Linked DNA regions of Callithrix jacchus. The protein of the gene in region 2 binds, or shares a complex with, the protein of the main gene of each other region. Links are inferred from orthologs where the notes say so. Each region holds a gene or a part of one and is shown on either strand. Other genes may lie near its edges.

Region 1 (6,047 bases), on a different chromosome or scaffold from region 2:
GAGAAAAATACAAAAGGAATTCTGTGTAAAAGGAGAAAAGCATGAAAAAGATAAAACAAATGGACAAAATAGAGTCTGCAATTGAGCTATGGAAATTTTGAACAAACCTAAATCTGTGTGTAGCCATCAAAAAGTGACTCCTGTGTACCTCCCGTTTTCTTCGTTTTGAATAGGAATGCCTCTAGCTGCTATCCTTCTCCTGTCCCACCATTATACACTGGGTGTGTAGGGCAGGCAACTTGTATCAGTTTTGCAGGTCCACAGATGAAGAGGAATTGCGCTCCAGGAGCTGGACTTAGTTACACCTGAGGAGCCTCATCCATACACCTGGGCCTGATTTAGGTGATGAGGTTTTGGCCTTCAAAGTGATGTTGTAATGAAATGAGACTTTTGGAGGACTTGAGATGAGGTAGACGTATTTTGCACATGAGAAGAAGATGGATCATTGGGGGCCAGAGTGTAGACTATGGCAGACAGGCTACACAGCCCCCAGTAAGCCCCACTGATATGGTTAGACTCTGTGTCCCCCTCCAAATATCATCTCGAATTGTAATCCACCGGTGTTAAGGGAAAGAACTGGTGGAAGGTGATTGAATCATGGGAACTGTGAGTCAATTAAACCTCTTTCCTTTATAAATTACCCAGTCTCAGGGAAGTTCTTTACAGCAGTGCGAAAGTAGACTGACATACTCACCTCCTAGCATTCTCACCTTGTATAATCTCCTCCCCTTGAGTGGGAGCGGAACTTGTGACTTGCTTCTACCAATAGAATATGGTATAGGAGATGGAATGTCACTTTTGCAATTACTTTAGGTAGACGGTAACTTCCATCTTGCCAGTAGACTCAATTGATTTCACTCCTGCTGGCTTCGATGAAGTAAGCTGCCAATGTGGAGAGGCCCATGTGGCAAGAAACTTATGGTGCCCCCTGGGAGAAGGCGAGGAAGAAGCTGAACCCCTCCACCTGACAAGCAACACTGAACGGAATCCTGCCAACAGCCATGTGAACTTAAAGGCAAGTCCTCCTCCAGTTGAGCCTTCAAAGAAGCCCCAGGTTTGGGTGACACTGTCATTGCAGTTTTGTCAAAGACTCTAAAACAGAGGATCCTGCTACCCTGTGCCTGAATTCCTGGCCCAATAAATGGGGTTGAATCTACTGGAGAACCAGCTGGACAAATATATTAATAGAGCCCTACTCATCTCACCACTGTAATAAATTCTGGCTAGATCACAGATATAAATGCTGAACACAAAATCATCTTTATGTAGAATATATTGGGAAATTTTTTCACAATTTCAAGGGAAATACTATCGAAATGACAAACTTTATAGAGGCCAAGAATGAAAAGGTAAATTCAACAACATGAAACTAAAAAGAATTCTGCAAATCAAAACTACATTGAGATACCATCTCATGCCAGTTAGAATGGCGGTCATTAAAAAATCTGGAGACAACAGATGCTGGAGAGGATGTGGAGAAATTGGAACACTTTTACACTGCTGGTGGGAGTGTAAATTAGTTTAACCATTATGGAAGACAGTGTGGAGATTCCTTAAGGACCTAGGAATAGAAATTCCATTTGACCCAGCAATCCCATTACTGGGTATAGATCCAGAGGATTATAAATCATTCTACTATAAGGACACATGCACACGAATGTTCATTGCAGCACTGTTTACAATAGCAAAGACCTGGAACCAACCCAAATGCCCATCGATGATAGACTGGACAGGGAAAATGTGGCACATATATACCATGGAATATTATGCAGCAGTCAAAAACGATGAGTTCGTGTTCTTTGTAGGGACATGGATGAATCTGGAGACCATCATTCTCAGCAAACTGACACAAGAACAGAAAATCAAACACCGCATGTTCTCACTCATAGGTGGGTGTTGAACAATGAGAACACATGGATGCAGGGAGGGGGGCACTACACACTGGGGTCTGTTGGGAGGAATAGGGGAGGAACAGCAGGGGGTGGGGAGTTGAGGAGAGATAGCATGAAGAGAAATGCCAGATATAGGTGAAGGCGAGGAAGGCAGCAAATCACACTGCCACATGTGTACCTATGCAACTATCTTGCATGTTCTGCACATGTACCCCAAAACCTAAAATGCAGTTTAAAAAATAAATAAATAAATAAGAAAAAAAAGAATTCTGTATAAAACCAATGCTGTAAGTATGGAAGGAAGAAAAAAGAAACTGGAAAGAAACCTTCCTACATGTACATTGACAAAACATGATTTTCCCTGATACGCAGAGTTCAACAAGTCAGAACAAACAGCAATGAGACAGAAAGCAGGCAGAGAACGTGGTTCACAGAGCAGAACACGCATGTGGCTCTCAAACATAGGCAAAGATGCTCAACATTTGATAAAGATGAAACCAAATTAAAATTATGATAAGGTAACTTTTTTTTAACCCTTCAATTGGGATGGGTAAAAAAAGTTGGAATATTCTGTGCTAAGGGAGGGGAAACAGGCCCTCTCTTTTTCTTCTTTTTTTTTGAAGCACAGTTTCACTCTGTCACCCAGGCTGTAGTGCAGTAGTGCAATCTTGGCTCACTGCATCCTCCACCTCCCTGGATGAAGCGATTCTCCTGCCTCAGCCTCCAGAGTAGCTGGGACTACAGGTATGTGCCATCACACCCAGCTAATTTTTTTTTTTGTATTATTAGTAGAGATGGGGTTTTGCTATGTTGATCAGGCTGGACTTGAACCTGACCTCAGGTGATCCTCCCCACCTCAGCCTCCCAAAGTGCTGGGATTACAGGTGTGAGCCACCACACTAGGCCAGAAATAGGTACCCTCATACCTGTGAGTATAAATTGGTACAGTCTCTATGAAGGTCAGTTTGACAAAATATCTATCAAAATATCCAAATTTGACATAGAAATCCCACCTCTAGAAATTTTACCTACACATGATATCTTTTAAAAGATTGTCACTGAAGTACAGACTGTAATAGGAAAAGATGGAAAATAACCAACACGTATATGAACAGGGTATTCTTTAAATGTCTAGTGAAAATGAACAAATAAACAAGGCAGTTCTGTTTGCACTGACATGGTTTAGAAAAACAAAGACGAGAATATTGTGTAAGGCTATTTGTACAAAAATGATTACATACACCAGACATGCTTACACATGCAAAGAATATTTCTGGGAAAATACACAAGAAACTTGCTTCCAGGAAGAACTAGGTGGCTGGAAAAACAGAAGTTAGACAGTTTTTCTTTTATAGTTTTTTGAATATTTTCGGTGAATATTACGAATATATCCTCTATTCACAATTGTTAATACAAAAATGAAAAGGAAGTAATGTTTTGACACCCAAGGGCTCTCTCCAGGACTTAAAAGGGCGTGCTTTTTAGGCAAGAAAGAGCCAGTGAATGCCCCTCTGTGGGCGCAAAAGGAGAGAACACCCACTGCCGTTTTAAAGTACATCTTAAAATAGTGTGTTGCAAAGCTCAGTGGGCTCAGCCCTTTATGATTGTTGGTTAGAAGGCTGTCAGGGATCATTTTCCAAATGCCAACTTACAATCCTCTACCATCCAGAAAGTTTTTATCCCTGTGAGAATTTTTAGAATTTAGAGAATGCAGCTAGTAGAGCTGACAGCCCCATGCAAAGCAGGTGGGGAAGCTTCAGAGGGAACCACTAGGTCCCCACGCAGCTATATTCTCACTGTTTTCCTTCCTTGTTCCAGCCAGTGCTACTGCTTCTTTCCTGGGACCAGCTTTTGACATAACTCTGCAGCTGAGGCCACTGACCTTTCCTCCCCGCTTCCCTCTCTTACTTAAGTCTGGAACAGCTCTTGCTGGCACCTCTGCAGCTGTGACTCACTGCAAATGCTTTGCATTCCGGGATGTTCTTCAGGGCTTTGGGTCTCTCCTGTGGCTCAAAGAGCCAGGCGAGTTGAAAGGGAGGAGAAAGAGGCCCTGTAGCTGCCAAAACGTTGCAGCCTTGAGGTGGAAAATTGAAACGGCTTTGTGCCGGAAGGACCCCAGCCAGCCCCTCCCTCTCTTGGGCTTGCTTGTAACTGGAGCAGAGCTAGGGGACGCCTCCGTGGAGGCTGAGTCAGCTGGGGGTTGTTCCAGCCCCAAGAGGCTCCATTCACAGACCCAGAAGCACCGCACCCCATCTGGAGACCATCTCCATCTGTCCATGAAGGACTGGGTTAAAGCCACTCTGGAAAGCAGAAATGGGGGTGTCATCTAGAAGTACTGTTTGTCTCAAGTGTCAGTTTACCTTTAAGTCACTGGAATGATTTGTCAGTTCGTTCCACCTCCTCACCGTCTTCAGCTGTATACAATTTATGTTTATATTCAGGTCAATCAACATCTACTCACAACAGCTACGTTCTTCCCTGCCTCTTAAAGTGACGAGACTCTATGTTGAAGGTCTTTCGGTAAAACAAATTAGCGTCTAGCTGCCCAGGTTAATTCAATGGAGATGGGGGAGGGTAGGCTGTGCTCGCTCACCTTCACTTCGTTCCTGATCCTCTATAAAGACTCCAATGGGGCATAATTTTAAAAACCTTATAAGTAAACTTTATCGATGTAAACTTACATATAATAAAACACGCCCGGATCGGCTCCGTTTGCAAAGTTGAGTGTCTTGAGAGGTCAGATAGCCGTCAGACATGGCACCTGGACCTGAACATGGACATAGTAAAATGGAATTTCCAGATTATAAACAATGGAAGATAGAAGGGACACCATTAGAAACTGTCCGGAAGAAACTGGCTGCAAGCGGGCTAAGGGATCTATGAGGCTGCACTGAAGCTTGGAGATACACGGGTGGCTTTGCAAACAATGTTTCCTTTCTTGGTGCACTATTAGAAGGATTCAAATGGGGATTTGCTGCATTTGTGGTAGCTGTAGAAGCTGAATATTACTTGGAGTCCTTGCATAAAGAAAAGAAGCATCACTGAAGATAATAGTTGGAAGTATCATAGTGGTTTCTTAACTCTCCCAAATAAAATTTCTTCACTGTAGCCTACTCATCTGGCTTGTCCCTTAAAGAACATTAGGAAGATTTAATAAAGTAAATTAGTATATATGCCAAAAAAAGCCTACCCATTTTTGGTGTATAATGTGATGAGTTTTAGCAAACATATGTACCCATGTAAGGCATAATTTGAAGCTAATGGCTTAATAGATATGAAAACAATGAAATAAATGTCCATGGGGGGGGTCAACAATATTTCATATTCACTTACATTTCTCTAACTCCATGGGTACAACATCATCACATGTTAAGGCTCTTTTGCTATCAAACAATATTCAATATAGTTTTACTTGGATTTCATAGAAGAAAACAACTTGGACTAAATAGAAAGCAAAATTGAAGTGGAAAAAATTACTAGGTTTATTTTTAATTTTATTTTCATTTTACTTTGAGTTCTGGGATACATGTGCAGAACGTGCAGGTTTGTTACACAGGCTAGATTTCAAGTAAATTTTTTTTTCCGTATAATATTAGCTCTTTAAATTTCTTTGTAAAATTAAGAAATTTTGCAAGTAATGGTGTTTTTTTTTTGTGAACCACACATTTCAATTTTATACATTGACTGACCTCTACAGAAAATGAGGATTATTATACCACCCCTCTCCTCACATTCCCCTCTCCTCAACTGCCATATAATTTTTTATTTTGATAAGTTTATAACACTAACATTGTCTTCAGTGATAGTCCAACAGTTTTTGATTGATCTATATTTAAATTTATTTGGTGTTCACCAAAACCTTTATTTATTTATTTTTTTGAGATGGAATCTTGCTCTGTTGCCTGGGCTGGTGTGTAGTGGCATGATCTCAGCTCACTGCAACCTCTGCTCCCTGAGTTCAAGTGATTCTCCTGCCTCAGCCTCCCGAGTAGCTGGGATTATAGGCACCCGCCACCAAGCCTGGTTTATTTTTGTAGTTTTAGTAGAGATGGGGTTTCACTATCTTGTCCAGGCTGGCCTTGAACTCCTGACCTCGTGATCCACCTGTTTTGGCCTCCCAAAGTGCTGGGCTTACATACATGAGCCACCACACCT
Region 2 (5,404 bases):
CAGAGTGCAACACCACCCAACCCCAACAAAACCCGAATCAAGAGAACAGGGTTACATTACGAAAGGAAGCCCTCAGTGCTCAGTAAAATGTTGTCTTTGTGCTCACTCTGCAATAGCTTCTATAATGTATTAGATATGTAATGCAGAACTGTGGGAGATTTCGGATCCACATTTAAACCTGCATAGCAGCAGATGAGGACAATTTTTTTAACCCACTCCAATAGTTAGAAGCTGAGAATGTGACACGTTCTTTTTACCGCTCCTACTTATGCCAAAGTAATTAGTGCCTGCGAAATATTTCAAAAATATTGGTGACATAATTGACGGGCAAACCTTGGTCCATATCAGAAATTTTTTTTACAATCTATGATATAATTTCTTGATGCTTATTAATTTATTTCAATTTTACTTAGTTAAGTTCTACTTTTTCTTGAGAAAATATCTCAAAAATAATCATATTGCCTGGACTTCAATAATGCAAAGAAATTTTTACCAAACTTTTGCTTCTTGAATTACATTAAATGCTTCTTTTAACAACATTTTAGCCATATATACATTATAAGCATTAAGTTTAAATAACATTTACTGATAATTTCCTTCAAAATACAATTTATTTTTTTTTTTTTGAGACGAAGTTTCGCTGTTGTTACCCAGACTGGAGTGCGATGCAACGATCTCGGCTCACCACAACCTCTGCCTCCTGGGTTCAAGCAATTCTCCTGCCTCAGCCTCCCAGTAGCTGGGACTACAGGCATGCACCACCATGCCCAGCTAATTTTTTTATTTTTAGTAGAGATGGGGTTTCACCTTGTTGACCAGGATGGTCTCAATCTCTTGACCTCGTGATCCACCTGCCTCGGCCTCCCAAAGTGCTGGGATTATAGGCGTGAGCCACCGCGCCCGGCCTTCAAAATGCAATTAAAGGTACGGAAAGGGTGAAAATTTCACCTCTCTGTCTGAAAGAAATTTTTTTCTCCCGTGAAAAATAACCACATGAAATTGTCAATATTTGACTATTTTTTTTTTCCTACAACTAAAGAAAATAATATAAAAGAAAAAAAAAAAGCCTGGCAATGTCATTGACTAATCAGTTTTCCTCTAAAAATGACTTTCTGTAAAGTATTAAGTGAGAACAAGAAAAACATGTCATCACACACTAATACAAATATGCTCCAACCCTGCCCATATGTGAATCTGAATATAATTTTCTGCCATCAAATTTAACTTTAAAAAGTCTTATGGTCTACTTAGAAATAAAAATCTGACAAGTTAATGATTTCTAATATTATCAGTACTTCCTATATCACTTATAACTATTAAACATTCCTGTACTTAGGCTCTTTTTCATGATCCGTTTGTAAGCACACTCCCAACAGTCAATAAGCATAACTGCGGCATTGGGTTCCATGTATTCAAGTGACTGCCCTACTAAGATGTTTGCCAACAGAGGTGGTGTTAACTCCGACAGAGGAACAACAAATTGTCAAAACTCTGTAAATCTCTAAAGAAGACTGATCTACCTCTTCCTAACCAGGTAACAGGGACTTCTGAAGATACGTAACTGCTACCAAGTAGAATATCATAGACAAGAACATGAACTCTGGAGCCCAATCGCCTGGGTTCAAATCCCAGCTCTCTGACTAACTAGCCATGTGAATTTGGTCAAGTTATATAACCCTTATGTGTCTCAGTTTCCTCATATGTAAAAAAACAGGTATAAACATCATTCCTTCAACTTTCACTATGAAGATTAAATATAGATTAAGTGTTTACAATCATGCCTGAGACACAATGAGTTCTATGTAAGTGTTACCAACACCGTCTTTATCTGCAAAATAAGGTAGGCAGTGAGAAAATTGGAAATCTTCCAGGCCCTATTACAGTCAGTCAACTGGGAAAGAGAAGAAGAGTTCCCGATCACCAGTCAAGAGAATTTAGTTCTAATCACAATTAACCTTGGTTATCACTGAGTTTTAGGAGCTTGCATGATTATATTGAAATACGATGGAAGCATTTCATGAAAATTCAGACAGGAACAGTTTCAAACTTACACTTGAAAATTAGAATCATTCTCACATACACACACAGACACAGACATATATATAATATACAAAGATATATATATATAATATGGTCTTCCAGCTTTTAATGAAATTTAAAGTTATATTCAATAAATTAATCTCAAATCTTCTGAGAAACAATAATAATGATATTGTAGTTGCATACCACACAACTTACATTTAATTTTCTATTTTGCAATTTGGAGTCCATGATCAGTTTTCACTACCCAACCCTAAGTTTACTCTAACAATTTGTTATTTAAGGATAATACTGGTGGGGGCACAGTGGCTCACACCTGTAATTCCAGCACTTTGGGAGGCCAAGGCAGGCAGATCACTGGAGGTCAGGAGTTCTAGGCCAACCTGGCCAACATTGTGAAACCCCGTCTCTACTAAAAATATAAAAACTAACTGAGCATGATGGCAGGCACCAGTAATCCCAGATACTTGGGAGGCTGAGGCAGGAGAATCACTGGCATCTGGAAAGCAGAGGTTGCAGTGAGGGGAGATCATAACACTGTACCCCGGGCTGGGTGAAAGAGCAAGACTCTGTCTCAAAAAAACAAAACAAAACCAAAAACAGAAAAAGAAAAAAGGATACTATCATTCTAGGCATAGAATTGTTGTGAGGATTAGAGCTCACAAGCTGATTTCATATACTGGAGTGCATTTGCCAAATACAATTGCCCCATACAATACAGAATACTGACTCCCTTTGATAGATGAGAGAAGTGAAGTGGCTCAATGCTGTTCTACTTACTAAGTGGAAGAGCTGGGGTTTGACCTGAGGTCTGATTGCAAATCACATTCTCTTCTCACTACAACACAGCTGCTGTTTCTATACCACATTACTTATTTTAGTCTTTCTAAAAACGAAGTTAACACACAAAAAGAAAAGCCGCAATAGCGATATAAATAAAGCCAGACTTAAAAGAAAAGCAATAGTGATAAAGGGCACACAGTGCAGTAAAAAAGTAAATGTTCACATGCAAAGGCAGAAAGTGAAAGAAAATACGAACGGCAATTTAGAGACCAGTTTTACGTCCGTAGTTTGGATTCTTGAAATTATTAATAGGACTCTTGTATATCGGATTTTCTTGCTAAAGTAAAAGAAATAGTTTCTAATGATTTCATCAGAAAAAAAATAGACATTTATAGTGTTCAAACACTATAAAGGGAATTTTTTTCTATTTCTACCCTTGTGAAATTTATAATTTTAAAAATTGATAATTTAAAAAAATTCCAGCAAACTGTAGTTAAGTGCAAGTAACTACAATTCATTTACAACTTAAAAAAACTAAAGATTGCCAATGCTTTCTTGTATCAAAATATGAATACACAGAGGCTGAAACTGACTCCATATTTCAAAGCACTAAATGCTAACATAAACTTTCAGTCACTTAGGGCTTTTAAAATTTTTATAAGCCAAGGTTTACTGAGATATAATTTTCATAGAGGAACATATACCTTTTTAAAGTACATAGTTCCATGAGTTTTCAAATACATAAATACATCCAAAATCAAGATCATCCCAGGAAGTTTCCTTATGGCCCTTTGCGGTGAACCCTTTTCCTCATTCCAGCCCCTAGCAACAACTGATTTTTGCCCATATAGTTTTGCTTTTCCAGAATGTCCCTTAAATGAAATCACATAGTATATAGCAGGGGTGTCCAATCTTTTGGCTTCCCTGGGCCACCTTGGAAGAATAATCATTGTCTTGGGTCACACATAAAATATACTAATGATAGCTGATGAGCTTAAAAAAAAAAAAGTCACCAAAAAAAAAAAATCTTACAATTTCTAAGAAACTTTACAAATTTGTGTTGGGGCCACATTCAAAGCTGTCCTGGGCTTCATGTGACCCACGAGCTGCGAGTTGGACAAGCTTGGCATATAACCTTTTGAATCTGGCTTTCACTGAAGGTTCTTTGTCTTTTTTTGTTTGTTTTTTTAAAGAAAGAAGCAGCTTTCCATTGAATAGCTTGCTACACAGGTAACATTATTTAGGATTCTATTTCACATTAGATGAAAAGGCAGATTTAGGATCAAAACTATTAAAGAAATAAAAATACCGGCCACAGTAACTAGAATATACGTGTTTATAATCAATGTTTTGTTTCAATGAGATATATTTAGGATGCTTCCTGTTTTTCATTAAACGCAAATTCTTTGAATGAGAAACTTTTGGGGGACTAAAATATTTAAAGGAATTTAATAATCAGCCTGACAGTTAATAAGTAAGTCTTAGGAGTATTACATTTGATTTATAAGCCACATTGGTTTTTGGATGTTTTGTAACTTACCGTGTCCCATTTGGCATTCATTTTCTCCTTTTCAAATTTAGCAAATTCCCTTCGGTCATGAATTATCATTAAAAGCTTCCATATCAGCAGTAATGCAAGGCCAATAAGAACAATTCCAGCAACCACACCAGCTACAATTGGAATGATATCTGGACCTGTAGGACACTCTGGAAAATAAGAAGGTAGTAAGGAGCACACAAGGGACAAACACATGCAGAGTCCAGCGACAACCACAAAGAGCTGCGCAGTATCTTATAAAAAACATACAGAAATAAACACACAAGACAGTGAATGCACGCTATCCCAAAGACTCCATAAAGTAGCTTTTGGAACAAGTGAGTTTAGGAGGTCACATGATCAATGAACAAAAATCATGTATTTTTCTACATATATAATGTATTTCTACATATTGAAAATAGAAATTTTTAAACAGTATCATTTATTACAAAATGAAGAAGCATGAAAAACTTACATATAAGTCTAACAAAATATATGCAAGATCTGCATGTTAACAATTGCTACACACTGATAAAAAGAAATCTTTAAGACTGAAGAAATGGAGGGATATTCCATGTGCATGAATTACAAAATCTAATACTGTCAAGATGTCAATTCTTCTGAACTGGATCTATAAACTCAACGATATCCCACCCAAATTCCCGGCAGAACTTCTGTAGCAATTAGCAAACCAATTCTAAAATTTACAAAAAAGGCAGAGAACTAGGGAAGTGTCTCAAAAACACTTTTGGAAAGAATACAGTTGGAAGACACCTGCTTCAGGACAAGCTATAAAGCTACAAGACCATGTGGTATAGCTAACAGACAGACTCAGATACATGGAACAGCAATCAGAGTCAGAAACAGACCTACACATGTAAGGTCACCTGATTTTCAACAAAGGTGGAGAAAGGACAGTCTTTTTTCAACAAATGCCCCTGGAACAAGTAGACACTAATATGAAAAAAAAACTGACCCTTTTGCCATACACTAAGACTAACTCAAAATAAGTTACAGATCTAAACGTGAAACCAGAAACTATAA

Evidence for each region.
Region 1: the proteins of ITGB1 (region 2) and FERMT2 are in contact, whole or in part, in a crystal structure (PDB 8TEE), measured with the Mus musculus proteins. The link is inferred for Callithrix jacchus from reciprocal best matches to the Homo sapiens genes ITGB1 and FERMT2. Residues at the interface, in NP_034708.1 of Mus musculus: Ala786, Val787, Thr788, Thr789, Val790, Val791, Asn792, Pro793, Tyr795, Glu796, Gly797; in NP_666166.2 of Mus musculus: Phe609, Ser610, Asn611, Met612, Lys613, Gln614, Trp615, Asn616, Val617, Asn618, Trp619, Glu620, Ala629, Asp630, His647, Ile654, Ser657, Thr658, Lys674, Leu675, Ser677, Gly678.

Annotation. Positions count from the first base shown.
Region 1 is NC_133509.1:87,561,139-87,567,185, forward strand, and holds the start of FERMT2 (fermitin family homolog 2), read right to left. Parts: upstream 3,975-6,047; 5' UTR 3,801-3,974; exon of another isoform or gene 3,775-3,800; intron 1-3,774. UniProt on the Homo sapiens protein: Scaffolding protein that enhances integrin activation mediated by TLN1 and/or TLN2, but activates integrins only weakly by itself. Binds to membranes enriched in phosphoinositides.
Region 2 is NC_133508.1:32,598,211-32,603,614, forward strand, and holds part of ITGB1 (integrin beta-1), read right to left. Parts: intron 4,531-5,404; coding exon 4,364-4,530; intron 3,161-4,363; coding exon 3,086-3,160; 3' UTR 3,080-3,085; intron 1-3,079.